7 linked regions of the Callithrix jacchus genome follow. The main gene of each other region encodes a partner of the protein of the gene in region 4 in a complex. Links are inferred from orthologs where the notes say so. Each region holds a gene or a part of one and is shown on either strand. Other genes may lie near its edges. The genes, in order: DRC3, DRC5, DRC4, DRC7, DRC8, DRC10 and DRC1.

Region 1 (3,854 bases), on a different chromosome or scaffold from region 4:
TTTATTGACAGCATGTAGCAGTTACTCAGTACACATGTATGGACTAAATACATGATCTCACACAAACGTAGGTGGGAGGAATTATCTGCCTTTTACTATGGGAAAGCCAAGGTTTAGATAGGTGAAGTGAGTTACCAAAAGATGCACAGTCAGGATCCAAATCCTGCCCTGATGTACTTAACAAATAGCATGTGTAATAACAACCCCATATTACCTAGCACAGCAATTGCTGGGCTTGACTGAAAGCAAGCTTGATCTGTCACGGGTACCAGGCCCTGATGAAGTAGGAGGGATAAGTTTTGAAATCAGAATTAAGAGTCACTTCCCAAAGTATAGCACCATTAAAAAAAAGAAGAGGCCAAACACTTTGCAGAAAACATCAGTCAAACATAACATATTAAAATTCCCCCAAAGACAAGCTGATGACAAGTTATGGGAAACCTTAGGGGAATCCATTGCATAAGAGTGGGGAGCTATGAGAAAGGCCAAGGGCTGGAACTGTCTTTGAGGGTGGAATCAGTCACCTCATTGAGGTGGAGCCCATGTAAACAGATTGGAGAGAGTGGGAAGAAAAGGACCAAGGTCTTGGGAGGACAGAAGGCACAGGTGGAGAAGGGGTAGGGGTTGAAGGGTGTGAAGGTTGTGCCTCTCCTAGGAGCAAAAGAGAAGCAAGAGCTCATAGGGACATCCAGTGAGGGACAGTTCAGGACAGAGGATGCGTATTTACAGAAGCTGCATCCAAATGGATGGTCGGGGAGGAAGGAGGAAGGCAGTCTTAGAGGGAAGTCTTTATTTAAGACCAGGTGACAGGATTGTATGGCCCAACCTGGCTTTCAGCGGACACCATCAGCCCTGCACTAGGAGTCTCTCTAGCCAAGTGGAATGAAAAGGAGAGCACAGGGGCTGCCTAGCATTGGGGACCAGCAGGGCAGAAGGACAGGAGGTTCAGGGAGGCCCATATGCTGGGGAGACACGAGGGACAGCAGGGAGGCAAGAATCAGAGGGAGAAAGCAGGGGGAAATGTCCCTCCTGGATGTCTTCACCAAGAGAGTTGGTAAGGATAAGAATGTGGTCCAGCCAGGAACAGCAGCCTCAGGTCAGCCTCGCAGTGTGACTGACCAAGTCTACAGATCCCCCTGTGCTGTGCTGTCTCAGCCAAATCCTTCTGGACTATTAGCGACAGAACCTACTGGAGGCTGGGCATAGTGGCTCACCCATATAATTCCAGCAGTTTGGGAGGCCAAGGTGGGTGGATCACCTGAGGTCAGGAGTTCATGACCAGCCTGGCCAACATGGTGAAACCTCATCTCTACTGAAAATACAAAAAAATTAGCCAGGCATGGTGACGGACACCTGTAATCCCAGCTACTGGGGAGGCTGAGGTAGGAAAATCTTTTGAACCCAGGAGGTGGAGGTTGCAGTGATTCGAGACTGTGCCATTGGACTCCAGCCTGGGTAACAAAAGTGAAACTCTGTCTCAAAAAAAAAAAGAAAAAAGAAAAAAAGAACCTACTGGAGCTAGCTTAAGTAAAAGAGGATTTCATGTGAGAAACAGGAAACTCTCATGAGGCATGGACTTAGGAATATTAGGGACTGGAAAGCCAGCAGGAAGGAGGCAGCCTCTGTCTGTGTCAGTCTGTCTGTCCTGTCTTTTGTTTTCTGGTTCCCAGTTTCCCATCTCTGCTTTTTTCCATGCATCTGCCTCCTCCCGCTCTTCCTCTCTGTTTAATCATGTGCCCAGTCAGCCCACACTCCCTATTCCTCCCCAGCTCAAGCGGCCAGCTCCAATGAGCACTCTCCTTCCACAGCCTCAAATTCACATCTGCCACGGGGAGGACGTGAATGGTCAGCTTGGGTCAGGGGCTCCCTCTGCACCAGGGAAAGCTTATGGTGTGGTAGGGGGCATACACACATAACTGCCTGGAGGGGGTGAGGTGCTCAAGGAAGAGGAGCTGCAGGCTGACCTGCCTGGCTGGGGATACTCAGGGAATACAGTCAGCAGTTGGTTCCCACAAGCCCAAATGAGGATGGGCACACAAAGTCAGAGGCCTGACACAGGGCCACAGTCTTAAGATGAGCCAAGATCACAGGCTAAGGAGACCAGTGTGGACACCAGTCCAGTGGGTCCAGGGACAGTCCCAGCTGTGGCTGTAGGGTCAAGGGATAAAACCCTGCGGACAAGCCCAGTGGGGGACAGGAAGCCCTGGAGTAGCCTTGGTGCAAATGTACAAACCCCGAGGTGCAGCAGGCCCAGGGTCAGAAGTGGGGCATTTTTCAGTATCAGTGGCCACAGCGACACCATAAGGGGAAACCTCAGCCACCTGCCCTCAAACAGAGAAAGAAGCAGGCTGTGGCCGGACACGGTGGCACATGCCTATAATCCCAGCACTTTGGGAGGCCAAGGTGGGCAGATCACCTGAAGTGAGGAGTTCAAGACCAGCCTGACCAACATGGTAAAACCCCGTCTCTACCAAAAATCCAAAAATTAGCCAGGCATGGTGGTACATGCCTGTAATCCCAGCTACTCGGGAGGCTGAGGCAGGAGAATTGCTGAACCCGGGAGGCAGAGGTTGCAGTGAACCAAGATCACACCATTGCACTAAAAAAAAAAAAAAAAAAAAAAAAAAATGAAGCAGACTGTGAAGGAGGAATGTGGTGTTTTTTAGGGAAAACATCGGGGAAAATGAACCGGCTATACGACTCGATGGAGCCAAGGGTGATAGACGATGACATGCTCAAGCTGGCTGTTGGGGAGCAGAGCTCCCAGGAGGAGACCGGGGAGCTTGCCAAGCAGGAGGGCATTCTCTTCAAGGATGTCCTGTCCCTGCAGCTGGACTTTCGGAGTATGTACCCAAGTTTCAGGGGTGGTGGCCAGAGTGGGGCCTCCCGGGCTTTCTCTGCTCTATCTTCAAGCTCCAGGATTCCATGCAAAGTCCATGGTGGAGGTTCCCACATCAGCATTAGGGCCTACCTGGGTTACAAGGCATAGGAGCAGCACAGATGTTTGTAAAGCTTCATTACTTAGTGTCTTCATCATTTCAATATCCACGACACTCCTGATTCTGCGTAAGAATAGAAAACAAGATAAAATTGTCCCACTCCAAATCTAAGTGAGCCACCAAGACTATGCTGTTTCCATCACACAACTCCATGTGGGTGTCCTTGGAGTGGGGGTCCCTGGCAGGCAGAGCCTAGGAAGTCCCATGTAGCCAGGAGCAGAGGGTAGGAAGTGTGGGAGAAGGAGGAAGAGCGGGCACTGAGAAAGCAGCTTCACGGAAGGGGTGACCAAAGACGGGCTGGTGGCAGGAGGGGCACAGGCCATGAGGCAGGGAGGCCCCTCAGGGGTGGGAAGATGTGGTTCAGGACCAGGTGGACCCTTACTGCTTCAATGTCCCATCTGTGAAATGGGATGACTGTCATCCCTGTCCCAAGCATTGGGCGGGGGGACAAGGAGAGACAGCACTTGCACAGTGCCTGGCTCACACAGGAAGGCCAGTAAGCTGCGGCACAGTAAGTCAAGGCAGAGGCAGTACTAGAGTACTGAGAGAGGTGGCCAGGGATCCTGAGACCCCCGCCTTGTATCAGGTGCAGGCAAGGCCACAGCAGACTGACCTTGTCTGATTCACATTCCTGCTCGGTCTTGGGGCCCCCAGGCTGGCCGGCATCCAGTCAACAACAAGAAAGTACTGAGACCCTGCCTCAGCCCAGCCCAGCTGCCAGAGCAGGGACATGACAGTGGGAAAGACAGGCATGGCCCAGGCACAGCCCCATGAAGCCCACAGGCCGCCAGGGCTGACCACCCAAGCAGGGAGGGCCCTGAGCCATAGCCCTAAAATGGGGCACAGAACAGGTGT
Region 2 (4,391 bases), on a different chromosome or scaffold from region 4:
ACTCGGGAGGCTGAGGCAGGAAAATTGCTTGAACCTGGGAGGCAGAGGTTGCAGTGAGCTGAGATTGTGCCACTGCACTCCAACCTGGGCAAGAAAAGCAAAACTCCATCTCGAAAGGAAATAAAGAAAAGAAAGGAAGGAAAGAAGGGAGGGAGGGAGGGGAAAGAAAGGAGGCAAGGGGAACAACCATGGAGAGGAGAGAAGGTGGGGAGTGGGCACAGTAGAAGATAGGAGGCTGAGAGAGTTCTGCCTGCTTCACAGGTTAGCCTTAGTCTGGTCTGGCAGTCACCAGCCTGCAGCTGAGGGTGATAGTAGGTGGCACTATTTTCCCTGGGAGCCTGGAGGGATGGGTGGATACGCAATAGCTGAGGGCTTGGGGCACATAGTCCCCAGGCACCCACAGAGGGCAGTCCTGGAGGTGGATGAAGAGTCACCTTCCTCTCTGGAGCTTTCTTTCCCTGGAAAGCCTGTTGGGTAAGTCAGAGAATCCCAGAGTTTTAAGACTAGGAGCATGTTCAAGACTCCAGTTCTTCTCCAGGGCAGGAATCCTGACAATCCAGAGAGGTCAGGGCTACCAGGAGTAGGTATATATTGTGCCACCATCTGGTGTCCCATCCAAGGGTGTGCTGTGCTCTCAGAGTGGGAAAGTGGGAGAGTGGGACACATGCAGTGGACTTTCACTTCTCTGGGGCCTGCCTCATGAGCCTGTTTGGCTTCACATGGCTGTATCTCTAACCCGGGACCACAGTCCCTAGGGAAAGGCCGGTCCTCATGCTCTGGGCCCCTACTCTGTATCCTCAGGACCAGGGTCCAGGGTCCTGAAATCACATACAGGGAACGACGTCCACATCAGGCCATAACTCAAAGGGTGTGAGGGACTGCTCTCTCCATGCCCAAGCACAGGTAATAGAAAGTGACAAGATGCTCCAGTTCGGCCAGGGTTGTCCTCATTTCTGATGGCTTGAATCTGGTGGACAGGTGTTCTGGGAACCATACCCTTGGCTATATATAGCTATGATTTATTGAGAGCTCTAGGACTTCAATAGCATGTGCATAGCAGGAGGCAGGACAGCAGCTGACTAAGTACTCAGGACTTGTGCTGTCTCAAATCAAATCTCTACTGTGCCCCCACACTATCTGCGCATCCTCAGGCAGGTCCCTGCTTGCCTCAGTTTCTTCATCTATAACATGGGGACAGTACTTAATAGTACCGATTTCATAGGCTTACATAGAGGATTAAGGAGCTAATGTGTGTGAGCCATTTCATATAGTGCTGGGCCCAGAGCCAGCAGTCAAGATGGGTGTTAGAAGTTATAATGAAGGTGCTACATGCCTAACATAATTTTATCAAATTCTTAAATGTATTATTCAGGATTATTATTTAACACTATTGTCCCCATTTCACAAATGAGGAAACTGAAACTTAGAAAGCTTAAGTAACTTACTAAATGTCACTAGCTAGTAAATGGAGAAGCTGAGGTTTTAGTTTGTGTCTGTCTAATGCTCTCTTACTTCCACTAGACAGATGCTGGGGTTGCTTATAAATTGCTCCCAACTCAGTCACTCACAGCACTTTCCAGTGGGTCTCTCATTTTCTCCAGCTCATGAGATCTCTTGTTCACCAGCATGGAGCCCAGGGTTACCCCCTTGGTGCTGACCTGAATAGTCCAGGCTCCCTCGCCCAGTTCACTGCTGGGCACAGGAGTCTTCCGCAAGGCTGGACCATTGCCTGCAAGCTTTGGAGGGCCCAAGGAGCCCAACAGAGTGCTGCAGAGTGGTGCTCTCCCACCCTGGCCCATTCCCTCCACAGGAAGTCTTGGGCCTTCTCCATCCTTCCCCCATCCCCAGATAAATCTAACCACTCTGGGCAGGAGTTCCTTATTCTGCCCTAATGGGAACACGAGGAAGATGCTGTAGGAGAGCGTTCTCACCTTCTTGTGCATCACAGTCCTGGTCCTCAACTGTCCCCTCCTCCCTTCCTCTTATCCAAAAAGTGGAGACACCCAGCCCTCTTTGCGATGACAGCGCCTCTGTGCCTGGGATACCTTCCCAGGAGCTGGCTCTGCACCCACTGCTCTGCCTGCCTTCTCTGCCTTCTCAGTTGCTCCCACCCCAGATCCCCGCAGGAGAGCCCCCTCTGTCCTCAGGGCTTTGGGCTTTTGTCTACACCCGCCTCCATCTCTTTCATGCCCACCATGTCTTACTTTGGGGCAAGTCACTCCCAAGTTGGGAATTCTATTTGTGGAAGGGCAAAAAAGTTTCTCCAACAGAGCTCGGCGAGTGATTGGACTTGGGCTGGGTGAAACCGCCAGCTCACTGGCCACGATCCCTGGGCTGGCCTCCTCCCGGCTGCTGTTCACTGAGGTCTGCTGTCTCAAAAGGGACTCCAGCCTCTCTGTTCCCCACTTCTCCTCCCTACCTTCAGCTCAGACACCCCAGCAGGGAAGCTCAGCTCCAAAGGCCACGGGGTCCCTCCCGCATCCTACCTGGGGTGTAGAGGTGCTGGCTTCTCCTTGGTAACCCAGGGAAACCGGCAGTGCCGTGGGAGGGAGGGAGATGCGGAAGCTTCTGGACCCGCGGGAGGGACTGCAGCCCTCGGGTGCTGGGGACAGGGACCGCCTTTCGGAGAAGTCTGGGGCCCCAGGGCTTAGGGCCGCTCTCCACCACGCCCTACCGATGCCCCACTTTCCACCCCCACTTCCTTCCCACGATCCTTCCCCTGCCTCACTCGGATCCCAAGCCCCGGCGCACACGGTTTGCAGTGACTGTGGTGAGGAGAGGCACGGGGCATCCTCGCGTGGAGAGCGTGGGGTCTCCCGTGGGTATGGACTGGCTGGCTCTTCCCCCAACGGGTAACGGAACCCAGGCAATGGCCGCCTGCAGGCTTCGGGCCGGTGTGACCGAGGACGCTGGAGGGGCTCCGAGGCCCTGCCGGACTGAGTGAACCCCGATAAGGGAGACCAGGGCTGGGTGTCCCCGCTCCCGGAGGTCGTCTCACCCGCTCCGGGAGCCCGGGCGCTGGCCTCACGCAAAGTCCCGCGAGCCAGTGCGGGTCACCGTCGTTGGGGACGCCCCGCGTCGCTAGGGGCGGGCCGGGCGGAGAGGGCGAATGCGCCGCGCCTCGGAGGAGGGGACGCTACTGCTTCCTCAGCTGTCGCTGCGCACCTGGCACGCGCCTCATTCGCGCTCACGGCGCCCAGGCCATGCCTCGGGAAGGTTCAGTGGAAGCGGCCGCTTTGGGGGTCGTGGGACTGTGGCCTTGCGCTATGCCCTGTGCTTCCGTGGGACGTGTCTAGGAACGGGTGGACTTTCTAGGGGGCTGGAGGTAGGAGACCCCGGGCAGGGCTGCTGGCCTGGAGTGCTTGTGCTCTCTTGGTAGCTTTTGTGTGGCAATGGATAGGGAGCTGGGGGTGGGGAGTTGGTCCAGGAAAAGCGTCTGTGGAAGATGAGGGTGGACGGACCTTTCTCCCGGGCAACTGTGGAAGTCAATGGAACTCCCCTGAGGTCTCCTGGTGACCTTAGGCCCTGCGGGAGGGCACCTTCTACCTTTCTCTCAGCTGATGTCTGGCACTAGATGCAGGAAGGCCAACAGGGTGCTCCTTCACACAGCCCATGTCCTGTGCCAAACCCCCTTCCGGCCCTGGTGCGACAGGATGTGGTGGGAGCCCCTGATCTCTTGGAGGGCAAGAGGGACAGACTTCAGAGGGATGGTTAGTAAAAAAAAGAAACTGGCTTTCAGGAAGGGAGAGGCAGCCAATGAGGTGGGGGTTTCAAAGGGTAGCTTTGATTTCAGTTCTGCTGAGGACTATTAGTTGGTTACCCTGGCCGAATACCTTGAAGCTCTGTTAACTCATCAATAAATCAGGGGTGCTACAACTCATCTTGGTGCCGGCAGAGCTTGGAGCTGGGCCTGTGGTGAACACTGCCGAACAGTGGCTACTACTCTAGTGGCCAGGATGCTTTAAAAGCAGTGAGGGGCCAGGCACTGGGATTGGGTCCCTTCAAGCCCTCACCGGTGCCTTACCAGCAAATCATTGGTGCCTTAATTAGAATGAGAAACTGTGCAGAAAATGATGCCAGGCGGGCCCACGCTGCTCAAATAATTTTTACTAGACAGAACTTGGTAGCCAGGGAGCCCTTGATTTGAAGATGGGTCCCCTGAGGCCTTTTCCTGCATCTAGCAACAGAGATCTAGGAACAGAGGCAGAGGTCCAACAGGCAGAGGTCTGGCTGTCTGAGGTGGACTCATTCTGATAGGGAAGGAGGGCTCCCCTCCATCTCTTGGCTTCCTCTTGCTTTGAGCTGCAAATTTTCAGCTTCAGCTCAGGCTTGAGGCAGGTGCTGTACAACTTGTTTTAATCAGCATATTGCTTGTCTGACCCCGATCTCCA
Region 3 (3,854 bases), about 32 Mb from region 4:
ACTTGCACCCACCTGCCCACCTGTACACATCTGTATGCACCTGATCACTTGCACCCACCTGCTTACCTGCACCCACCTGCTCACACCTCATCTGCACATACCCACCCCACCTGCTGACCTGTATCACCTCCTCACCTGTATTACCTGTGCCATCTGCTCACCTGCCCATGCCTCCTCACCTGCACACACCTACCCACTTGCATCCAGCTGTTCACCTGCACCATCTGCTCACCTGTCCACACCTCCTCACCTGCCCACACCTCCTCACCTGCCCACACCTCCTCACCTGCACACACCTGCTCACCTGAACCATCTGCTCACCTGCCTACACCTCCTCACCTGCCCATGCCTCACCTGCACACACCCACTCATTTGCATCCACCTGCTTACATGCACCATCTAACCACCTGCACACACCCACCCATTTGCATCCTCCTGCTCGCCTGCACCATCTGCTCACCTGTACCCACCTCCTCACCTGTACACACCTGCTCACTTGCATCCACCTGCTCCCTTGCATGACTCCTCACCTGCACACAGCCACACATGCCTGTTCACTTCAGCAAACCTGCACACTTGAGGCAGAGTCAGACACCAAGGCTGGGAGGTGAGGTGCATCCCCAGCTCACAGGGTGCTGAGGGGCAGAGCTGAGTTGCAAACAGGCCAGCCTGTCCCCAAAGCCCTTGCTCCTTCCATGTTGTGGAGGCTGCATGTTAAACCTCAGGACCTGCTGGGTCTCTCATGACACTGGAGAGATGAAGTGTCTCTCCCTCAGCCTCTTTTATAAAAAACAGCGTTGGGGCTGTGACTCCCAAAGCCGAGGACAGACAGTGTCCCAGCCTCACCCTCATTGGGCCCAGTTCCTCTGTGGCTGTGTGGTGACCAGGTGGGCACGGGCAGACTGGCCTCACTCACCTTGATCTCCACCTGGTGCCTCTCCTCGGCCTCTTCCATCTCCCGATCCTTGTTCCGAAGCTCAGCCTTCTTTTCCTCCAGCTGCCTCCGGGTGATCTCCCAGAAGGTGTGGATCTTGTCCCGCTCCAGCTGGAAGTAGTTGCGCTCCTCCCGCTCACGGTCCAGCTCCTCCCGGATACGGCCCAAATGCTCCTCCACCTGGCCAGGTGCAGTGGGTCAGGTGAGCACTGGGCAGGGGCCCATGCATAGCAGAGGGGCAGATGGCCGGAGAAGGGCAAGGAAGGAAGAGGGTGGAGCCGTTTTCACCTAAAATTAGACAGCTGAACATAAAAAGTTAAGATATAAAGCTAGGAAGCTCCAGAGACAGAATGCATTCAACAAGTGGCAGAATTCTCTTCAATTTGGCCAATAAACATAAAATAACTATATCCTTTCATCCATTTCTGAGAATTTATACCTAAGAAATTTCTCGAAAGAAATATAAGAGCTTGTTGCTGAAAGATATTACCCACACCATTATTACAAGAGCAAAAATATTAAAGAGGAAACCATCTGAGACCAATGTAAACAGGGAATGGGCAAGAGGTACTGGCTCTCGCCTGCAATCCCAGCACTTTGGGAGGCCGAGGTGGAAGGATCCCTTGAGCCCAGGAGTTTAAGCCAGCTTAGGCAACATAACGAGACCCCATCTCTGCAAAAAAAAATTTTTTTTAATTAGCCAGACGTCATGGCACGTGCCTGTAGTCTCAGCTACTGGGAAAGCTGAGGTTGGAGAGTCACTTAGGCCCAGAAGGTAGAGGCTGCAGTTAGTCATAATAAAGCCACTACACTCGAGCCTGGGTGACAGACTGAGATTCCGTCTCAAAAAATAAACAGCCAGGCATGGTGGCTCCCAGCATTTTGGGAGGCCAAAGCGGGAGGATCTTTTGAGCCTGGGAGTTGACCAGCCTAGGCAACATGGCAAAACCCTGTCTCTACAAAACAGAAAAATAAAAATGAGCCCGGAGTGGTGGCACACGCCTACAGTCACAGCTACTGGGAACACTTGGGGAGGACGATCGCTTGAACCTGGGAGCTCGAGGCTGCAGTGAGCCGTGATCACACCACTGCACTCCACCCTGGGTGACAGAGCAGGACCCTGTCTCTAAAACATAAATAAATGAATACAGCAATGGTTGAAAACTTACAGTACATCAACTGGGAGAAATATCATATTACCCAAAAAACAAATATAGAAATGAGGTAGCAGCATTTAAACAGATTCATGTAATGTTAAATGAAAAAAAAAATCATCTTTAAAGATACAATGTTAAGCAAAAAATACGCAAGACCAGCAGACTCCTAACCCTCAAGAGGGTTCAACTGCAAATCTGAAAATAGGTTAAAAAAAATGTAGGACAGGCTTCCAGCTTTCTGGGGAGCAAGAATCAGTTATTTTTTGGGCACAGCCCCAGGCCCCTCCAGCCAGGCGTGTCCAGGTCACCTCCAGCCCTACCCTCTGCCTGGATCCTGAAGAAGTCTTCTGAGTCTGTGGCTCCGTGTGCCATGCGCAGCGCAAGGCCCTGCCCAGTGGACTGCACAGTCACTGCCATGCAAGGCCTGTCTCCACAGGAAGGGGAAGCAAACAGGGAGGCGGCAACAGCTCACATGCTAGGACAAGGCAACGTTCAATCCATTCGGCGGCTCCAGACACCTTTCCAGAACACAAACCTCGCCCCGTCACCTCTTCGCTCAGCCCCTGGCTTGAACTGCCCGTGCTTTCTCTGAACGTAAAACACACACGTCCTTTAGCACGTTTCAAGGACCTCTGCCCAGCTCCAACTTCGGGTCATACGACTCTTCTAGTCTCCTTCATATTTATTTTTTATCTTAATACTACCAAAAAAAGGTAACAATGATTAACAATAACACATGAGCTGACACAGCACGCACGTCCTGGGTCAGAGGCTCATGAGGCAGTCATCCATCAGGGCAGAGGCTAGAGGCTGCACTGGGCTTGCCACAGCCTGCAGGTTTCGGGAGCCTCTTAGGTAAAATTGTCATTACATAATTATGTTCTGTAGCCCTTAACTGCATCCAAATGAAGAATGGACTTGAAATAACTCCTACAAAGAAACTATAGAAACATCACCTCCTCCCCAAAATAAGCATACCCAAGAAAAAGGCAGCCCTGATGGGACTTTTATCAAAAACAATGAATGATCAATCAGACTGAGATGTGATTTTAAGTAACTCACATTTTAAGTTTCTTTTAAAACCTTGCTTTTTGAGATAATGTTTAACTGTGAATAAAATAAAGGAGAATGCGGTGTGTGTGTGTTGTGATAAGCCTATACACAACAGCTGCAAGAAAGGGTCGATTGGAAGAGAATACTCAAAATCAAAAATAGCTTTTAAATCAGAAAAACTTGTCCTTCCAAATTCCTACTGCCCTATTAAAACATTCCATAATGGGCTCTATGGCCTTTTTGAAAACACAGAGTCCACGTGAAAGCTTTGCAGCTGATGGGAATTATGGACCAGGCTGGAGTGCTGGTTCTGGCTTGCACAGAAGAATAGATCCACATGGTGAGATGGACAAATGGTGCAGCCACCTGAGAGGTTCATACAGGAACCCTGCGTGGTGCCCACCCCAGGATTGGGCCACAGCCGGCTCTGCCCACCTGACCCTGCGTGGTGCCCACCCGGGACTGAGCCACAGCCAGCTCTGCTCACCTGACCCTGCATGACACCCGCCACACCAGGACTGGGCCACAGCCAGCTCTGCCCACCTGACACTGCGTGACACCCACCCACCCCAGGACTGGGCCACAGCCAGCTCTACTCACCTGACCCTGCGTGACACCCGCCACACCAGGACTGGGCCACAGCCAGCTCTACTCACCTGACCCTGCGTGACACCCGCCACACCAGGACTGGGCTACAGCCAGCTCTGCCC
Region 4 (3,854 bases):
GAAATAGTAATAGGCAGCTCATGCCTGTAATCGCAACACCTGGGAGGCCAAAGTGGGTGTATCATTTGAGGTCAGGAGTTCGAGACCAGCCTGGGCAACATGGTGAGACCCCATCTCTACTAAAAATACAAAAATTAGCTGGGTGTGGTGGGGCATGCCTGTAATCCCAGCTACTCGGGAGGCTGAGGCAGGAGAATTGCTTGAACCTGGGAGAAGGAAGTTGCAGTGAGCTGAGATCAAGCTACTGTATTCCAGCCTGGGCAACAGAACAAGTCTCCATCTCAAATAATAATAATAATAAGAAGAAGAAGAAGAAGAAGCCAGGCATGGTGGCTCACACCTGTAATCCCAATACTTTGGGAGGCCAAAGTGGGTGGATCACAAGGTCAAGAGTTCAAGCCTGGCCAATATGGTGAAATCCTGTTTCTACTAAAAATACAAAAATTAGCCAGGCATGGTGGTGCACACCTGTAGTCCCAGCTAGCCAGGAGGCTGAGGCAAGAGAATCGCTTGAACCCAGGAGGCAGAGGTTTCAGTGAGCCAAGATCATGCCACTGCACTCCAGCCTGGGCAACAGAGCAAGACTCTGTCTCAAAATAATAATAATAATGATGACAATGATGATAATGATGATGTCAGCCAGGCAGAGTCCCAAGGCCTTTACAGACATTATATCATTTAATCCTTCTACAAGGTCCAGTTTACAGTTAAGGAAACTGAGGCTTAAAGCCGTTAAAGGACTTGCTTGGGCCCTTAGTTGATCTTGGAGAGAGGGTGGGGCTTGGGTGCCCTGACTCCAGGAACACCTCTCTAATAAGGAAGGGCCTGCAGCTGGGGCAGGGCAGGCCCAGCAGGCAGGGTGGGGTGCTGCTGTCCTAAGCCAGGCAGGTACAGAAACGGCTCCCTGCCCAGAGCCGGGAGTCCTCTTCTTCCACATCATGGGTGGTGCTTGTGACCTCTAATTCCCCTGGGGAGGCCAATGGATCACCTTGGCTTGGCTCTGTGGGCAGATATAGAGCTTTGACCATAACTTCTGCTTCAAGGCCCTGACCAGCACCACCTTCCCCACCCCCTTCTCTCCCATCAGGACAAGGAGGATGAGGATAAGAGCTTCGACATGCCCCACTCGTGGGTGGAGCAGATTGAGATCTCCCCGGAAGGTATTTGCTATTTGTGTGTTCACTTATCCTCTCCAGACCCAGTTCCTGGGCCTCCAGAGGTCTGTAGCAGCAGTGAGGGGGAGACAGCAGTGAGGCGGGGGACAGGTGTGTGCAGCAGCCAGGGGGAGGGTGCAGCAGTGAGGGAAAGACAGCAGTGAGGAGGGGGGCGGGTGTGTGCAGCATCGGGGGCTATGCAGCAGCAAGGGGGAAACAGCAGTGAGGCGGGGGCTGTACAGCAGCGGGGGGGGGTGCAGCAGTAAGTGGAGGGGGGCACAGCAGGGAATGCCCTACCCCACATTTCTTCTCTTCCCACCTTCAGCTGCACCCTGCCTCCTTCCTCCCTTCCTGCCACACACACTCAGCTCTGTGATCCCGAGGGCCTGAAACCAGTCTGGCACACAGGGCAATGGGGCTCAGTGAGCCTGTGTGGGATGATGGCATGTGGGTGGCAGCAAGGCCTGGGAACCCAGCCCGTTCCCCTCTCACACTCTTTTACCCAGAGGAGGCCATGGGTAGTGCCCAGATGGTGCAGGGGGGTCTCAGGACCGGAGAGGGGTAGGTAGAGAAGGCAGGAGGACAGGGACTGTCATGCTCCATGTTAATATCTGCTGGTGCCCACTTAGGAGCACCCAGACTTATGGGAACAGCCAGAGAGGGTGTCATGGGAACCCAGAGGAGGCACACCCAGTTCAGCACTGGGGCTAGGGCCTGGGGATGGGTGGGCAGAAAGGGGTACGAGAGTAGGCTAGGGGTCACTTGGGCTAAGTTTTGAATGCTCCGAAGGAGTCAGTCCAACCAGGGGAGGAGGGGATGATGGTGTTTCTGGTGGAGACCTGTACAGGCAAAGCCCAGCAGTGGGAGAGTGTGGTTGGCTGCGGTCCAGACCTTCTGATGGGGCTCAGATCCCTTTCTTGGGTGGATCTGTGCTTCTGCATGGCCTGAGAAGGCCGGTAACTATTCTCCTCGGCCTCCCTGGATTCAGCTTGGGGCTGGAGGAGGTCAGTACACATCGAACGGGCAGTGGGTGAATGAGTGGCTGGGTAGGGCTGGCCCCTCCCTCAGTGTGGGAAGGAGAGACCCCAGCTGACTCTGTGTCCAAAGCATTCGAGACCCGCTGCCCAAATGGGAAGAAGGTGATTCAGTACAAGAGGGCAAAGCTGGAGAAGTGGGCCCCGTACCTCAACCGCAACGGCCTTGTGAGCCGCCTCACCACCTACGAGGACCTGGAGTGTAAGGGGGATTGCTCTGGCCCAGGCCAGCCCAGGGTGGGGGGCCAGGCCAGCCCAGGGTGGGGGAAGCTTCTGCTCTCTCTGTGGGCATTGCTGGAGATTCCGTGTGCCTGGAATAAGTGGCGAGGGTGGGGGTGGGGTGAAGGCTAGGGGAGCTGGCCCGCTGCAGCAAGCGCCCATCGGCCCCATAGGTACCAATATCTTGGAGATAAAGGAGTGGTACCAGAACCGGGAGGACATGCTGGAGCTGAAACACATAAACAAGACCACAGACCTGAAGACAGACTACTTCAGGCCCGGCCACTCCCAGGCTCTTCGAGGTGCGTGGGTCCCCTTTCCTGGGCTGGCCCGGAGCCCAGGCTGGGGCCTGACACACCCTTTGGCAGCATACATCTTACACAGGGGTTCTTGGGCAGCAAGCAGTGGAAGCGCCCTGCCTCCCTCAGCAAAATCCAAGGAAACGTGACACATGCGCCTCAAACCAGGGCCACATGCCACTTCCGTGGTTGTAATCCGGCAGGAACCTTGCCATGAGGTCACACAGTGGAGGCCACATCTAAAGGAGGCAAGGCTGGGCACAGGGGCTCACACCTGTAATCCCAGCATGTTGGGAGGCCAATGTGGGCAGATTGGTTCAAGACCAGCCTGGGCTATATGGTGAAACCCCATCTCTACAAATACAAAAATACAAAAATTATCCAAGCATGATGGCACTGCTTATGATCTCAGCTACTCAGGAAAGTGAGGCAGGAGAATCACTTTAAGCCCAGGAAGTCAAAGCTACAGAGAGCCGAGATTATGCCACTGTGCTCCAGCCTGGGTGACACAGCGAGATCCTGTCTCAAGAAAAAAAAAAAATCCTGACCAAGAAATTTACAAAAGAAGCATAGCAGGGCTAGCATACATTTAAAAAATGATCAACCTCGGCCGGGCATGGTGGCTCATGCCTGTAATCCCAGCACTTTGGGAGGCCAAGGCAGGTGGATCACCTGAGGTCAGGAGTTCAAAACCAGCCTGGCCAAGGATCAACCTCATTTGGTAGCTGATGAAAAAAAATAAAACTAATAAGGTCCCTAACCAATAAAGGACCATCTTATAACCCTCTTGTTGACAAAGATGAAACAAAGGTCATACTGGGTATGAACAAGTATGGGAGCAACAGTCACTCTTTGTCACTGTTGATGGTACAGCAAATTGGACATTTTCTGGAGGGCCTTTGGGCAAAATATTGATAATGACCTTAAAACGTGTACACTTTTGACTGGGCATGGTGGCTCACACCTGTAATCCCAGCACTCTGGGAGGCCAAGGTGGGTGGATCACCTGAGGTCAGCAATTTGATACCAGCCTGACCAATATGGTGAAACTCCATCTCTACTAAAAATACAAAAATTAGCTAGGTGTGGTGGCGGGTGCCTGTAGTCCCAGCTACTTGGGAGGCTGAGACAGGAGAATTGCTTGAACT
Region 5 (4,637 bases), on a different chromosome or scaffold from region 4:
GAGGCCGAGATGGGTGGATCACGAGGTCAAGAGAGCGAGAGCATATGGTGAAACCCCGGCTCTACTAAAAATACAAAAAATTAGCTGGGCACAGTGGCGCGTGCCTGTAATCCCAGCTACTCAGGAGGCTGAGGCAGGAGAATTGCCTGAACCCAGGAGGCGGAGGTTGTGGTGAGCCGAGATCGCGCCATTGCACTCCGGCCTAGGTAACAAGAGCGAAACTCCGTCTCAAAAAAAAAAAAAAAAAGCTGTCTTTGATTAATTCAAATGTTCTGAATTCAACAAATATGTATTGATTACCTACCATGTGCCAAGCACTCTGCACAATATTCAACATTAACAGATCAGAAATGGTCGCTGACCTTTTGGAACTTACAGGGTAATGAACATATCCTTCAAAATTATCCTCTCTTTTGTGTGATTCCATGGTCATCAAATGACTTCTGAAATATAAATTCACACTACCCAAAGCTTAGTACCCATAAAACAGTATGTTACATTACCAAAATCAGCCTTCAGGTCAATGTATATACCACTATTTAAACTAATAAATCATTCAGGTTTGCACATCAGTCTTTTATGAGTTTAGCTGAGTGAATCCTCAAAACTTAATTCGGATTAATTGGCTAGATGTAATTTATGAAAATTCAAAATAGAGTAGCTGAAAATCAAATATAGTAATGGACTATTTCCATAAAAAGTCTTATCAACAAAGTGAGTCTTTACTTATTTTATCCTCTGACAAAATGCCTTTAGTTCATCATACCCTTCAAACTGCAATTAGTTAATTCATAAAACTGTAAACCATAAATGAGATATGCCATATGAGTACTTCCCAAACTTTAATGTACATACAAATCACCTACAGATACGTTAAAATGAAGACTCTGATTCACTGGTGGGGGGCAGCCAGTAATGCCCAGGCTGCTGTCCGCAGACTACAAAGACACACACCTAACACAGTGGCTGGCACGGAGTCCACGCAGCGCAGTTAACTATTCCCTCCCATTCGTATGCATCTCAGCTCCCTTACTGAGCTCAGCTTTCTTGGGAGCTAAGACAATGTCTTTTTCATTTTTGTATCTTTCAGAGTTCTAAGCAGAATGCCTTATCTACATGAAGTTATTAAATATACGGATTCTGAATGAATGGCATCCAGCTTTTAATAGTCATTACTTCTTCTGTGAGTTGACAGAATTGCATCTCTGAATTTTTCTTAAATAGAAAAATATTGTTCAAAAGTTGAAAAACCAGGAAAGCTCTCAATCTATTTTTTAAAAACGATAAATACTGTATTAGTACCATATTCCTGTTTGTGTCTCATGCTGACCTAACCAAGTGTTTTTTAAGAAAACAAGTATCTGGCTACTTGGCCCCAAAAGTCAAAAAAAAGAAAACAAATATCCATAATTACTTTTCTAGTCTCTCTCTTAATGGTTTTCCTTTTTTTTTTTTTTTTTAATAAGGAACAAAAATAATTTATTCATTTTTCTGGGGAAATCTTAAAAGTAACCTTTTCTGTGTATGTAAGGGCATCTTCATCACGGTAATACCTATAAAATAATCCCGGCTTCTCAGATTCATATCATATAAAATCACAGGATTCTTGCTATCAATAGGCAGACGCTGGCAGTTTCATGTCGCCGCCTATTTTCTGTGATCACCTTAACAAGTGACTAAATAGCTCAGGGCTCGTTTATTAGCTGTGAACCTGACCACACTCGGTTCCATGCGGAGAAAAACGGCACGAGAGGGCGTTGTGAGGATGCGAGAAGGCAAGCAAAGGGGGAATGTATTTTCACTTCGTAGTTGTTCAGTTTCACGGGTTTTGGGACATTGTTTTGTCTTGGTGACTTTGCCAACTACCAAACGCAATTATTCTTGAGAACCTAAGGTCTTGGTAACCGAGGATCGGGTTTTGATCACATCATAAATTATACCACGAATTGAAAACAACATGAACGGTCTGGCCAAGAAACGTCATCCCTTTTTGGCGTCTCGGCGCAGGCAACACATTGACGCCTCTTGATCTGGCGACCTTACGCCTCGAAGCGCACAGCGCCTCTGCAGGCGGCCACCGCGCGGGGCCGGGGGTCCCCGGGGACCGCGGGAGAGGCCCCCCCGCCCCCGGCGTACAGCGGCTCCGCGGTCTCGGCGGGGTTTTGGTGTTTCGTCTTTATTAACATTGCCGTTTGGGTGTATGTCTTTGTTGTGTGTGTTTTTTTTTTTTTTTTTAAGAGTCCAGGCCGGTTGCTCGGCGCCGGCCGGCCGCAAGGCAGGCATTTCCGAGGCAGGAGAAGCTCGGAGGCAGCGGCTGTGACCTCCAGACCGTCCTCCCGCGTCCTCATTAAGAAGGCAAAATGGTGGCGGCGAACGCCATCAGGCTGCGCCAGGGCGGGTTTTCGGCGCCAACAGGATCGCGCCAAATTCTGGCGGCCAGAACGCGTCCTCACCCGGCCGCCCCCGGGGCCCACAGCCTGGACAGCTAAGGGCGTGGCGCCTGCGGCACCGAGAGCCCAGGAGGGTGCGGAGGCGGCTGCTGCTTCCCCGCGGCACTGAACAACGACACCATTATCAGCAGCCCCGTGGCGGCGCCTCCGCTGCAGCCCGCGCCGGAGCCCAGGCCCGGCCTCCGAGGGAGGGGAAGAAGGACGCGGCGGGAGGAGGAGGGAGGGGGGAGGAGGGAGGAGGGAAGAGGGGGGGAGGGGGGAGGGGAGAGAAGGGGGACTGGGGAGGGAGGAGGCGGGGCGGAGCGGCGGAGACGGGGCCGCGCGGCTGCCCCTGCTGGGTGGGCCCCTCCTCAGGCCACCCGGTCCCTGCGGGTGGGGACTCCAGATGGACGAGGGCCCACCCCCACCCGGCGCTGCGCCCAGCAGCCCGGGGTCGCGGCGGGCGGTGAGGGCAACGGCTCCCCGGCTCCCCGGCCTTACCTTCCCTGTCCGTCTCGTCCGCCATCTTGCTACGGTCGCCTGGGAGATGCCTAACGACAACCTCAGCCGCGGGGTCCCGGCCGGCTTAGCGCCCCGCGGCCAACCTGGCCGGGAGGAGGGGCCGCCCCGAATCGCGGGGGAGGAAGACCCTGGGGCGGGGCGCCCGGGGCGGGGAGGAGGCTCGGAGCGCGCGCCCGGTCCCGGCTTCCCGCCGCGACCCTCGCGCAGCGGGAAGACCAGAAGCGCCGTCTGCCAGCGGCACCCGCGCGTCGCGCCACCCGGCCCCCAGCCTTGTCCCTGCGGACCCGAGGCCTAGCAGTGTCCCTGAGTCACACGGCCCCCAGCCCCTCCTGTCCCTTATTTCTCATCCTTTTGGGGGCCGCACGCGCGCGCACACACACCCCTCTCCCCCTCCGGTCCTGTTGGTGCGACGTGGCGTGGCTCGGTTTCTGTTGTTAACTGCAGATTTTGAAAAGCAGCCAGAGAGTAGGTGAAGAGCTGGGCTCCCACGGCGGGGACAGAACCAGCCCGCGGCCCGGCTGCTGCAGAAACGCCGCTCCTGCCTCCCGGTTTCCCCCGGCCAGTCCTCACCGCCCTTTCCCGGAGAAAGCCACAGCGCAGCCTAGGACGGCTGAAGCTCAAACGGAAAAACTGGGCCGAGGAAGAGGAAGCCAGAGCCATTCGATTGCTATTACTAGAGGAGAGAAATAGCTGTAGAAAAACATGCGCAAAATAGGCGCAAACATTGCGTCGTCAAGGCTGCAATTTCTAATCAAAATAGAAGGTTCTCATAGCAACAAAAACGTGCCCGTGTTATGCTCAGTATTACATGCGGTAAAACGTTCTCAGGTGAAATTGAACAGGACCGCTGGTTAAACTTATAATGGAAGTTTTAAATTCTGCTTTCAGGAAACTTTGCAGCTATAGCATGAGGTTAAATTTTTGTCTTATTTTCAGGATAAGTTTACTAGAACGTTTTTCTTTTATAAAGAGCTTTGAAGAAAATACCGAATGATGTGGTTCGAATGAATACCTGTTTTCAAAACTAATCTTAAAGGGTATTTCAGTGCATATGTTATGTAAAAGCAATTTATAAACTATTAACTGTACCTTTAAAGAGGCCTTCAAAATACAAGGTACTCGTATTTAATGACTGAACAATTTGAATGCTTGTATTCTGGTTCTATAATCTCTCAAATCCTAAAACTGACTATATTTTTCTTTGTTAACGTACTTTTTCTGTAGAAGATACCCATTGGATCAGCACCAAATTGAAATTGAATAACTTGAACAGAATATGAATTCAATATTGAATTGAGTTGAAACTGAATATAAACAACTGAATCATTGCAAAATGGCTCGTGTTAGAAATTGAATATAAACAACTGAATCATTACAAAATGGCTTTTGTTAGAAGATGGTTGAATACAGTCTTGTACAAAAAATGTTTAACACACCAAAAATAATGAAAAGTAATTATTAGCATTCCTTTATCTAAATCTCATAGTTGATATGATCTAAATATTTGTGTTTAAAGACTCCCTCTCTCCATATGCATAATGAAGGGCTTGGAAAGAAGTGTAGGAAACCCTGAGGTTGGTCTCAGGCTTACTATTCACTATGCTTTTTCCTGTGCTGGTCACAGTTTCCTTTTTCTTGAATGCCTTTCCCTGCTCTTTCTCCTGCCAACATTCACCCTCCCACAGA
Region 6 (4,450 bases), on a different chromosome or scaffold from region 4:
CCATGAGCGAATCTGCAAACAATCTGTTTCCACTCACATTTTTTGTTGTAGTTGTTCTGTTTTTGAGATTCAGTCTCACTCTGTCACCCACGCTGGCGTGCAGTGGCGCGATCTAGGCTCACCGTAACCTCTGCTGTGAGGTTCAAGGAATTCTCATACCTCAGTCTCCTGAGTAGCTGGAATCACAGGGGTGTACCACCATGCCTGGCTAATTTTTGTGTTTTTAGGAGAGACAGGATTTGCTAATTTTTGTGTTTTTAGAAGAGACGGGATTTCACCATGTTGCCCAGACTGGTCTCAAATTGCTGGGCTCAAGTGATCCACCTGCCTTGGCCTCCCAAAATACTGGGATTATAGGCATGAGCCACGGACCCTGGCCTCTACTCACATTTAACTTTCCTGGATAGTTCACAGAAATGGGATCATGCAGGACGTAATCGTTGGCATCTAACTTTTTGCTTAGCACAGTGGTTTTCAACCTGGGGCCACTTTGCCCCCAGAAGACTTTTGGCAATAATCAGGAAATGCACTTGCTTATTACAACTGAGAGAGGCTACTACTGGCATCTTGTGGGTAGAGGTTCGTGTTATTGCTAAACATCTTACAATTGGCAGGATAGTCCCCCGCAACAAAGAATTATTGTGCTCAAAATGTCAACAGAGCTAAGGTTGAAAAATCTTGACTTTTGCTTTTTCCAAAGATAGGGTCTTACTCTGTCACCCAGGCTGGAGTGCAGTGGTGCAATCATGGTTCACTGCAGCCTTGACCTCCCTGGGCTCAGGTGATCTGCCCACCTCAGCCTCCTGAATAGTTGAGACTACAGGCACATGCTACCACATCCAGTTAATATTTGTATTTTTTGTAAAGAGGGGGTCTCACTTTGTTGTCAGGCTGATCTCAAACTCCTAGGCTCAAACAATCCTCTTGCCTTGGCCTCCCAAATTGTTGGGATTACAGACGTGAGCCACTGGGCCAAAAACCCTTAACTTAACATGTTTTCAGGTTCATCCAGGTTACAGCAATAATTAGTATTTTGTTCCTGAATGGTATTTTATTGCTGAATAATATTCCATTCTATGGAAATAACACAAGTTGTTTATCCATTCACCTGTTGATGACATTTGGTTTGTTTCCAGTTTGGGGCTACTAAGGGTGATGTTGCTAAGAACATTTATATTTGAGTCTTTCTGGGAACATATGTTTTCACTTGGTGGGGGTACATTCCTACAGAGACCAGCGTGGCCATACAGACCCCCACCCAGGCAGTGCTAAAGGCATTAAGAAGCAGACACCCAGAAAGAACAGCAAAGTGGGACTATCCTGGGACCAACAGCTTTCAGAGCTGAGAACCTCAGGTGCTGACAGCATTCCAGGCTGAGGGCCTCAAGCAGATTCTGACTCACATAGTTATTCTCTCTGAATAGGTGATTATTATTAACAAACAGGTGTTCTGTGTTTTCTCATAGAACAAAAATAAAGTAGGTAGGCACCTGGTGCCTGCTCACCACTGATCACAGACAAACCAGAAAGCATCCTCTACGAGGGAGCCACAGGGGCAGGGTCACCTCTCTCGCGCTTAAAGATTTATTTTAAGTGGTGTATGATATACAAATACTGTCTTGCTACTTTAGAGTGCCCCAAGTAGTTTTCCACTTGGGGGGGGGGCACGGCTAGGTTTTCCTTGCCATCATTCTTCTTAGCAAACAATATATTTATCATACAGTCAGCATTTCTCAACACATTCCTGAGTGGAATTGCTAGGTTATATGTTAGTTTATTTATTTTTGAGACAGGGTCTCACTCTCTTCCAGACTGGAGTGTTAGTGGTGTGATCTTGGCTCACCACAACCTCCACCTCCCAAGTTCAAGTGATTTTCCTGCCTCAGCCCCTTAAGTATCTGGGATTACAGGGGCCTGCCAGCATGCCCAGCTAATTTTCTTATTTTTAGTAGAGACGGGGTGTCACCATGTTGGCCGGAATGGTATCGATCTCCTGACCTCATGATCCGCCCACCTGGACCTCCCAAAGTGCTGGGATTACAGGCGTGAGCCACCACGCCGGGCTGAGATCACATCTTAAGGACCAGAATGGGGAGTTAAATTACAAAGTTAGGACAAAAGGTAAAAGTGGTATAATAAAAATTACTTTATATATTTATTTATTTATGAGACGGAGTCCCGCTCTGTCGCCCAGGCTGGAGTGCGATGGCACGATCTCGGCTCACTGCAACCTTGGTCTCCCGGGTTTAAGCGATTCTCGTGCCTCAGCCTCCCGTGTAACTAGGATTACAGGTGTGCCACCACGCCCAGCTAATTTTTGGATTTTCAGTAGAGATGGGGTTTCACCATATTGGCCAGGCTGGTCTCGAGCTCCTGACCTCAAGGGATCCGCCCGCCTCAGCCTCACAAAGTGCTGGAATTACAGGCGTGAGCCACCGCGCTCCGCCAAAAACAACACAAAACCTGATTTAAACACTGAATTGAGATGCATGCTCACCGAGGAACGTATGGCCGTTGGGTGGAATGGCAGGGGACTTAGAAACTTCCCTCCAACTTGTTTGATTTGAAATAAGTTAACTACGATGTGACTCTGCTGGACTGGTGTCCTCCTCGTTTTAGGGATGGGGGAGTGGGGCCTTGAAGTGGGCTGGAAGAAAGGGCAGAATGGAGGCCGGCTCCCTGCAGGCTGTGGAGTGAGAGGTTTAGACTTAGGCTGGGGCCGAGGAACAGGGTCCTGAAGCTGAGACGGGATCGCAGCGAGGGCCACTGATTCCTCAGGGAGCCAAAGGGCAGCGAGCTGAAGCCCATTCCACATCTCCCCCGATCCGCGACCCTTCCCTACCTGGTTACTCACCTGCACTGAAGGCTCCAGGTTTCCCTAGCCACAGTTATCGCAGCGGTCCCTGCGTTGCTAGGTTACTTGCCAATCTCAGAAGGCGGGACTTGGCGTCTGACTGACCTTTCTTTTCACCACTCAATTCCTTGTTCCGCTCAGTTGTCCCCACCTCCTGAAGCCTGACCAATCAGAAGCACCATCATTTTGACCTTTCACCAATGGAAAGACTGGGGACTCCCTCTGGGTTGCCCTCAAAGAGTAAGGCGGGGCAGATGGGAGGAGAAAGGGGCGTGGATTATTCGTCCCGCCCCTTCTTAAGGAGGCGGGCAGGGAGTACTGCATCGGCAGCGGGCGAGACCTGCGGAAGGACGTGAGATATGACCAATCAGAACTCATCATGGTATCCCAGTTAGCCAGTAGGTCGCTGTCAAGGGGAAAGGGGCGGAGCCAGCGGGGTTGAGAGGACGGTAGGCGGCGGATGGGAGAGCTGGCGCAGCTGCCGTGGTGGCAGTGGCTGAAGTAGGTGCAGCTGCGGCTGCTGCAACAGCTTCGGGCTCGGGGTTTTGGCGGCGGCGCCGGAGGGCTGGGCTGCGCGGTGCGGACCCCGGCGCATGGTTCGGGTTGCTGGGGCGGCGCGTGTAAGAATCCGAGGGATGCGAGGGCTTGGCCCGAGGGAGAGGGCAGGGACCAGGGGTCAGAGGGCTCGGAGTAAGGGGTTGTGGAGCGGCACTCTGGTGTGGGAGGTGGGCTGGAAGGGCCCGGAGGGGCCGCGGGGAAGGCTTCGGCGCTCTTCTCTCCGTCCAGCCCGGGCGGGGGCTTTGCACCCACTTTCTTCGCCCCGAACTTCTTGGGACGACCCTCACGTGGGCGTCCAGCCAGGGTGTGGGAGCACGTGGAGCTGGAGCCGGCGCTCCTGCCTCCTCCTTCCTCCCTCCCTCGCCCTTCTCCCTGGCGCCCTCAGGTGACCCCGCAGGAGTCTAGTGCCCGGGTCAGCTGCCCCAGCGGACAGCGGGATGGCAGCTGGCCCTCTCTTCCCCTGGGCCCTTTCCCCAGGGTTGGCCATTTGGGTTCTCTCTAGAGCCGGAAGCAAAGCCCGCGAAGGGAACACTGGACCGGGACTCAGGAGTCCCGGGTTCTAGCCCTGCTTCTGCACTGTGTGACCTTGGGCAAGTCTCTTCCCCTCTCTGGGCCTCATTTTAGTCTCCCTGGAAAAATGATGTGTTTGAATTCAAAAATCGGGGGACTGGTTCTAGTCGTAGGTGTATATAGAGTAATGGTTAAGCAGGGAGAGTTCCTGAATTCGGACTGCCTGTATTGAAACTTAAAAGAGGCAAGTTAATCACTCCAAGCTTCAATTTCCTCATTTGTAAAGTGGGAATACAGGCTGAGATAGGATTTTTCAACAGCAGCTCAGTTGACATTTTGAGCCACGTAATTCTTTGTTTCTGGAGGTCTCACCTGTGCATTGTAGCACATTCAGTGGCATCCCCAGACTTCACCCACCAGCAATTCCCCCACTCCCAAGCTGTGACAGTCAAAGATGTCTTCAGACACTGCTGATGTCCCTGTGAGGGCAAAAATCACCCCAGTTGAAGCCAATGAACAAAGACAATA
Region 7 (3,854 bases), on a different chromosome or scaffold from region 4:
GGTCCCTATTGCTTGAAACGTCTCACATGTCCTGTCCTTCCTCCTTGTCTCCTTACTTCCATCCTTCCTGCCTTTCTTCCTTTAAGAATTGCATTCTAAGTTCCAGACCACTGCGCTAGGCTCTGAGGACCAGAGTGGAAGAAGACTTCTTATTAGTAGCAGACAAGATTGAAGGTTTTTCTCCAAACCCCGAATAGCCTATTATTATTTATGAATTCTTCCACTTGTAGGTTGATAATAATACATTTTGGACACATATTGAATGTATAGAGGAACACCAGTTGACCTTTTGATAGTGACTTATCACAGAAAATGATACTGAGTAAATGGTATGTCATCTTAAGCCTGATTATCTGAGAAACAAGAATAGTCAGGGGACGATATTTATGAAAAAACATCCCCCTATATATGCACCATACCAGATAGAGGAACATCCAGGAAAGGCACACATCAATACAGCAAGGAGGCACCTGGGAAACCTTCCCAAAGAAGTGAAATATTGCAAGGGGGTGGGGACAGGAATTGGCAAAAGGCAGTTAAGAGGAGACTCCAGGGGGCCAGTGCTGGTAGCTGGAGTGGCTGGTCTGAAGGCAAAGAGGTAGGAATCAGAAGGTCACACAGCAGGTGAAGAAAATGGGGAGGGCGGGAGGCGGGAGGAGGTGCTTGAGGCAGAGCTTGGGTTTGATGCACGTGGCTGAGATGAGTGGGATCTTCCCTCTTAGTTCAGATTCAGACAGCTTTCCCTCAGCCCGAAAAACCCTTCAGCAGCCCCTGCAGTTTCTGAGCACTACCTTTTTGTCTCTTGCTCCTTTCCTCATCACTTATCACCCAACATTTCATAATTTGACATATCCGTTTGTGCTGCTATAACAGACTCCCTGAGCCTGGACAGTTTACAAAGACAAAAGTTTATTTCTCACAGATCTGGGAGCCTGGGAAGGCCAAGATCAAGACTAGCAGGTTCAGTTTCTAGTCAGGGCTGCATCTTTCAGAGGGGAGGAACGCTGTGTCCTCACACAGCAGAAGAGTGGGAAAGCAAGCTGGCCAAAGGTTTTGGGAGGCCTCTTTTTCTTTTTTGAGATGGAGTCTCACTCTGTTGCCAGGCTGGAGTGCAGTGGTGCAATCTCGGTTCACTGCAACCTCTGCCTCTTGGGTTCAAGCGATTCTCCTGCATCAGCCTGCCGAGAAGCTGGGACAGGTGTGCGCCACCATGCCAAGCTAATTTTTGTATTTTTAGTAGAGACGGGGATTCACCATGTTGGCCAGGCAGGTCCCGAACTCCCGACCTCTCATTCCACCTGACTTGATCTCCCAAAGTGCTGGGATTCCAGGCATGAGCCGCTGTGCCTAGCCACAAACTTTGTTTTTTTCCTTCAACCAGCCTGCAGGATACACTTAACAATCTGAGATCAAAATATGCCAAGCAAATAAAGCAGCTCCAGGAGGAGAACCAGTCTCTAACCTTGGAGTACAAACGTCTCATGACGCAGTTCAAGGAGCTACAGAAAGCCGTGAGGTATCTGAAGGACCTGGTCCTATGGCACTTGTGCCAGTGTCGAGGTGGCAGGGGCGGAGTTCGTATATAGGCTGTGATTTCACTGGACTTGAAATCGTCGGCTATTTTGGAGCCGGACCAGGCACTAGTTAACCCTCTGTGCTGTGTTCCCTTGGCCCTTTACTTGTGTGTCACCTGCCTTTTCTTGAGGTATGTTGGGATGGCTTCTAGTTTATCGTAAGTGGGAATCAGCTGCCCAGGGATGGGGCCAAGCCTGGGAATTAGCACAGCTCTTTTGCATGTTCTTGCCCTGCTGCCAGTTGAGGGGACCCCGGCCAGGCCCTGGGGTCAGCTGGCCATGCTCCGTGACTCTTCTTCACAGGCATTTTGCTCTCATCGATGATGAAAAGTTTCGGGAGATTTGGCTGATGAATGAGGAGGAGGCGAAGGACCTAATAGCCAGAGCTTTTGATGTAGACAGGATCATCCACACCCATCACCTGGGGCTCCCCTGGACAGCACCTGATTTCTGGTTCCTGAAGAACGTGGGGCCTATTTCTCAGCAGCCCCAGAAGTCCACCACGCAGATAGTAGAAGAAATGCTTCTGCGCACAGGTGACGAGAACACTGTCATAGAGCCGCCCTCTGTGAACGTCGGGTCAACCCCGTCATGTTAGAGACAGTCTAGGGAGGAGGGGAAGAGCTCCCATAGCTAGGAGGTAGGAGAGTATGATTATGATGTACCTTTTAAGTCTTCTCCAATCTATAGCTTTTTTCTCTCCCCTGTATTAGAAACTGGTAGTCAGGTCTAGAAACTTGATCAGATGCAGGTCCAATTTATTTTGCTAAATACACTATTGTGTAGTACCACCACTGGGATAAACTGATGTTAAGTTGTCTCTCTTTGTGTGATATTAGCAATCATTGCCATTCATTGTCTGAGATCTATTAACTTTATTAGGGATTGGAGAATGGTGATGTTTTAAATTCTATTCTTGTGTCTTTATTTAATATTTAGAATACTTCTTAAAAGAAAATCTTTCCTTCATTAGCAACTTGCTACCCTGAGATAGTCTGTATAAGAAAAGCAGGATAGATGCTTATTTTTTCTGTTTACCAGTTTTCAAAACAATGGATTGGGTCTCTAGCATCTTCCAAAGGTACCAATGAGTTTTTAAAAAATATTATGAATGCATGAGTTTATACAGATTTGATGTATTTTAGTTTACTAAAGTAATTATCCTTATTGAGGCTGAAATTGTTTCATCTTCGGCCAGTGGAAGCTTCATACTGGCTTCTGGGTCCTTTTGATTCAGCCCTAGTAGTTTTTAACAGCATCCTGGCTTTCCGGGATGACCAGGTGTTCCAGGCATGCCTTATACTTGGAGTCAGCCATTTCTCCAAGGGAACCCTGGTCCTTTTCAACAGGGAATTTTTTTTTTTTGAGATGGTCTCACTCTGTCACCCAGGCTGGAGTACAGCGGTGGAATCTTAGCTCACCGCAACCTCCGCCTCCCAGTCTTCAGCGATCCTCCCACCTCTGCCTCCCGAGTAGCTAGGACCAAAGATTCATGCCACCATGCCCAGCTAGTTCTTGTATTTTCTGTAGAGGCAGGGATTTGCCATGTTGCCCACGCTGATCTCAAACACCTGGGCCAAACGATTCCTTCCCAGAGTGCTGGGATTACAGGCGTGAAACCACCATGCCTACCCAGGGAGCGGTATTTTGAAACCATGCTCTGGGTGCTGGGTACTTATTCCTTTGGGTTGGCCATTGTTTTTAGGACTTTTCAGTGGACAGAGCTGAGTATAGGATTTTTTTTAGTAATAAAATAAATCATGAGTTCATCCTAAATCCTCCTCATCAACAGTATGCCAGAGTTTTTACTTAACAGTATGAAAGTTTATCCACTTTCTTCCAACTTGAAATTCTTAGTGCTCAATGACTTCAAAATAAAGAATCACATGCATTCCTCACAGCACCACAGAGCTGTCTCGGTTGAAAATATCAGCCCTAACACCAACAAATGATTACTAAAGACAGCTCACACTTTTCTATGGTTCTTTTTGTTCTTAAAGTGTGTCCCTCCAGGGGTATACAGACAGATTGCTATGTTTTAAAGTCACTTGGGGCCAGGCACGGTGGCTCATACCTGTAATCCTAGCACCTTGGGAGGCTGAGGTGGGCACATCACTTGAGGTCAGGAGTTTGAAACCAGCCTGGCCAACGTGGCAAAACCCCATCTCTACTAAAAATACAAAATTAGTCAGGTATGGTGGCACATGCCTCTAATCCCAGCTACTCAGGAGGCTGATGAGGGGAATTGCTTGAACCCGGGAGGCAGAGGTTGTAGTGAGC

The links.
Region 1: DRC7 (region 4) and DRC3 share a complex: the UniProt entries of both Homo sapiens proteins name them as parts of the nexin-dynein regulatory complex. The link is inferred for Callithrix jacchus from reciprocal best matches to the Homo sapiens genes DRC7 and DRC3.
Region 2: DRC7 (region 4) and DRC5 share a complex: the UniProt entries of both Homo sapiens proteins name them as parts of the nexin-dynein regulatory complex. The link is inferred for Callithrix jacchus from reciprocal best matches to the Homo sapiens genes DRC7 and DRC5.
Region 3: DRC7 (region 4) and DRC4 share a complex: the UniProt entries of both Homo sapiens proteins name them as parts of the nexin-dynein regulatory complex. The link is inferred for Callithrix jacchus from reciprocal best matches to the Homo sapiens genes DRC7 and DRC4.
Region 5: DRC7 (region 4) and DRC8 share a complex: the UniProt entries of both Homo sapiens proteins name them as parts of the nexin-dynein regulatory complex. The link is inferred for Callithrix jacchus from reciprocal best matches to the Homo sapiens genes DRC7 and DRC8.
Region 6: DRC7 (region 4) and DRC10 share a complex: the UniProt entries of both Homo sapiens proteins name them as parts of the nexin-dynein regulatory complex. The link is inferred for Callithrix jacchus from reciprocal best matches to the Homo sapiens genes DRC7 and DRC10.
Region 7: DRC7 (region 4) and DRC1 share a complex: the UniProt entries of both Homo sapiens proteins name them as parts of the nexin-dynein regulatory complex. The link is inferred for Callithrix jacchus from reciprocal best matches to the Homo sapiens genes DRC7 and DRC1.

The regions. Positions count from the first base shown.
Region 1 is NC_133506.1:69,175,873-69,179,726, reverse strand, and holds part of DRC3 (dynein regulatory complex subunit 3), read left to right. Parts: intron 1-2,666; 5' UTR 2,667-2,683; coding exon 2,684-2,843; intron 2,844-3,854. UniProt on the Homo sapiens protein: Component of the nexin-dynein regulatory complex (N-DRC) a key regulator of ciliary/flagellar motility which maintains the alignment and integrity of the distal axoneme and regulates microtubule sliding in motile axonemes.
Region 2 is NC_133505.1:52,760,329-52,764,719, forward strand, and holds the start of DRC5 (dynein regulatory complex subunit 5), read right to left. Parts: upstream 3,051-4,391; 5' UTR 2,999-3,050; exon of another isoform or gene 2,487-2,998; intron 1-2,486. UniProt on the Homo sapiens protein: Component of the nexin-dynein regulatory complex (N-DRC) a key regulator of ciliary/flagellar motility which maintains the alignment and integrity of the distal axoneme and regulates microtubule sliding in motile axonemes.
Region 3 is NC_133521.1:47,664,617-47,668,470, reverse strand, and holds part of DRC4 (dynein regulatory complex subunit 4), read right to left. Parts: intron 1,115-3,854; coding exon 917-1,114; intron 1-916. UniProt on the Homo sapiens protein: Component of the nexin-dynein regulatory complex (N-DRC), a key regulator of ciliary/flagellar motility which maintains the alignment and integrity of the distal axoneme and regulates microtubule sliding in motile axonemes.
Region 4 is NC_133521.1:15,604,494-15,608,347, forward strand, and holds part of DRC7 (dynein regulatory complex subunit 7), read left to right. Parts: intron 1-1,087; coding exon 1,088-1,160; intron 1,161-2,261; coding exon 2,262-2,390; intron 2,391-2,580; coding exon 2,581-2,709; intron 2,710-3,854. UniProt on the Homo sapiens protein: Component of the nexin-dynein regulatory complex (N-DRC) a key regulator of ciliary/flagellar motility which maintains the alignment and integrity of the distal axoneme and regulates microtubule sliding in motile axonemes.
Region 5 is NC_133520.1:41,227,897-41,232,533, forward strand, and holds the start of DRC8 (dynein regulatory complex protein 8), read right to left. Parts: upstream 3,035-4,637; 5' UTR 3,034-3,034; coding exon of another isoform or gene 2,956-3,033; coding exon 2,931-2,955; coding exon of another isoform or gene 2,852-2,930; intron 2,851-2,851; coding exon of another isoform or gene 2,836-2,850; exon of another isoform or gene 2,745-2,835; intron 1-2,744. UniProt on the Homo sapiens protein: Component of the nexin-dynein regulatory complex (N-DRC), a key regulator of ciliary/flagellar motility which maintains the alignment and integrity of the distal axoneme and regulates microtubule sliding in motile axonemes.
Region 6 is NC_133510.1:116,197,085-116,201,534, forward strand, and holds the start of DRC10 (dynein regulatory complex protein 10), read right to left. Parts: upstream 2,896-4,450; 5' UTR 2,855-2,895; intron 2,522-2,854; exon of another isoform or gene 2,498-2,521; intron 177-2,497; exon of another isoform or gene 38-176; intron 1-37. UniProt on the Homo sapiens protein: Component of the nexin-dynein regulatory complex (N-DRC), a key regulator of ciliary/flagellar motility which maintains the alignment and integrity of the distal axoneme and regulates microtubule sliding in motile axonemes.
Region 7 is NC_133515.1:88,557,817-88,561,670, reverse strand, and holds part of DRC1 (dynein regulatory complex protein 1), read left to right. Parts: intron 1-1,381; coding exon 1,382-1,516; intron 1,517-1,877; coding exon 1,878-2,110; intron 2,111-3,854. UniProt on the Homo sapiens protein: Component of the nexin-dynein regulatory complex (N-DRC) a key regulator of ciliary/flagellar motility which maintains the alignment and integrity of the distal axoneme and regulates microtubule sliding in motile axonemes.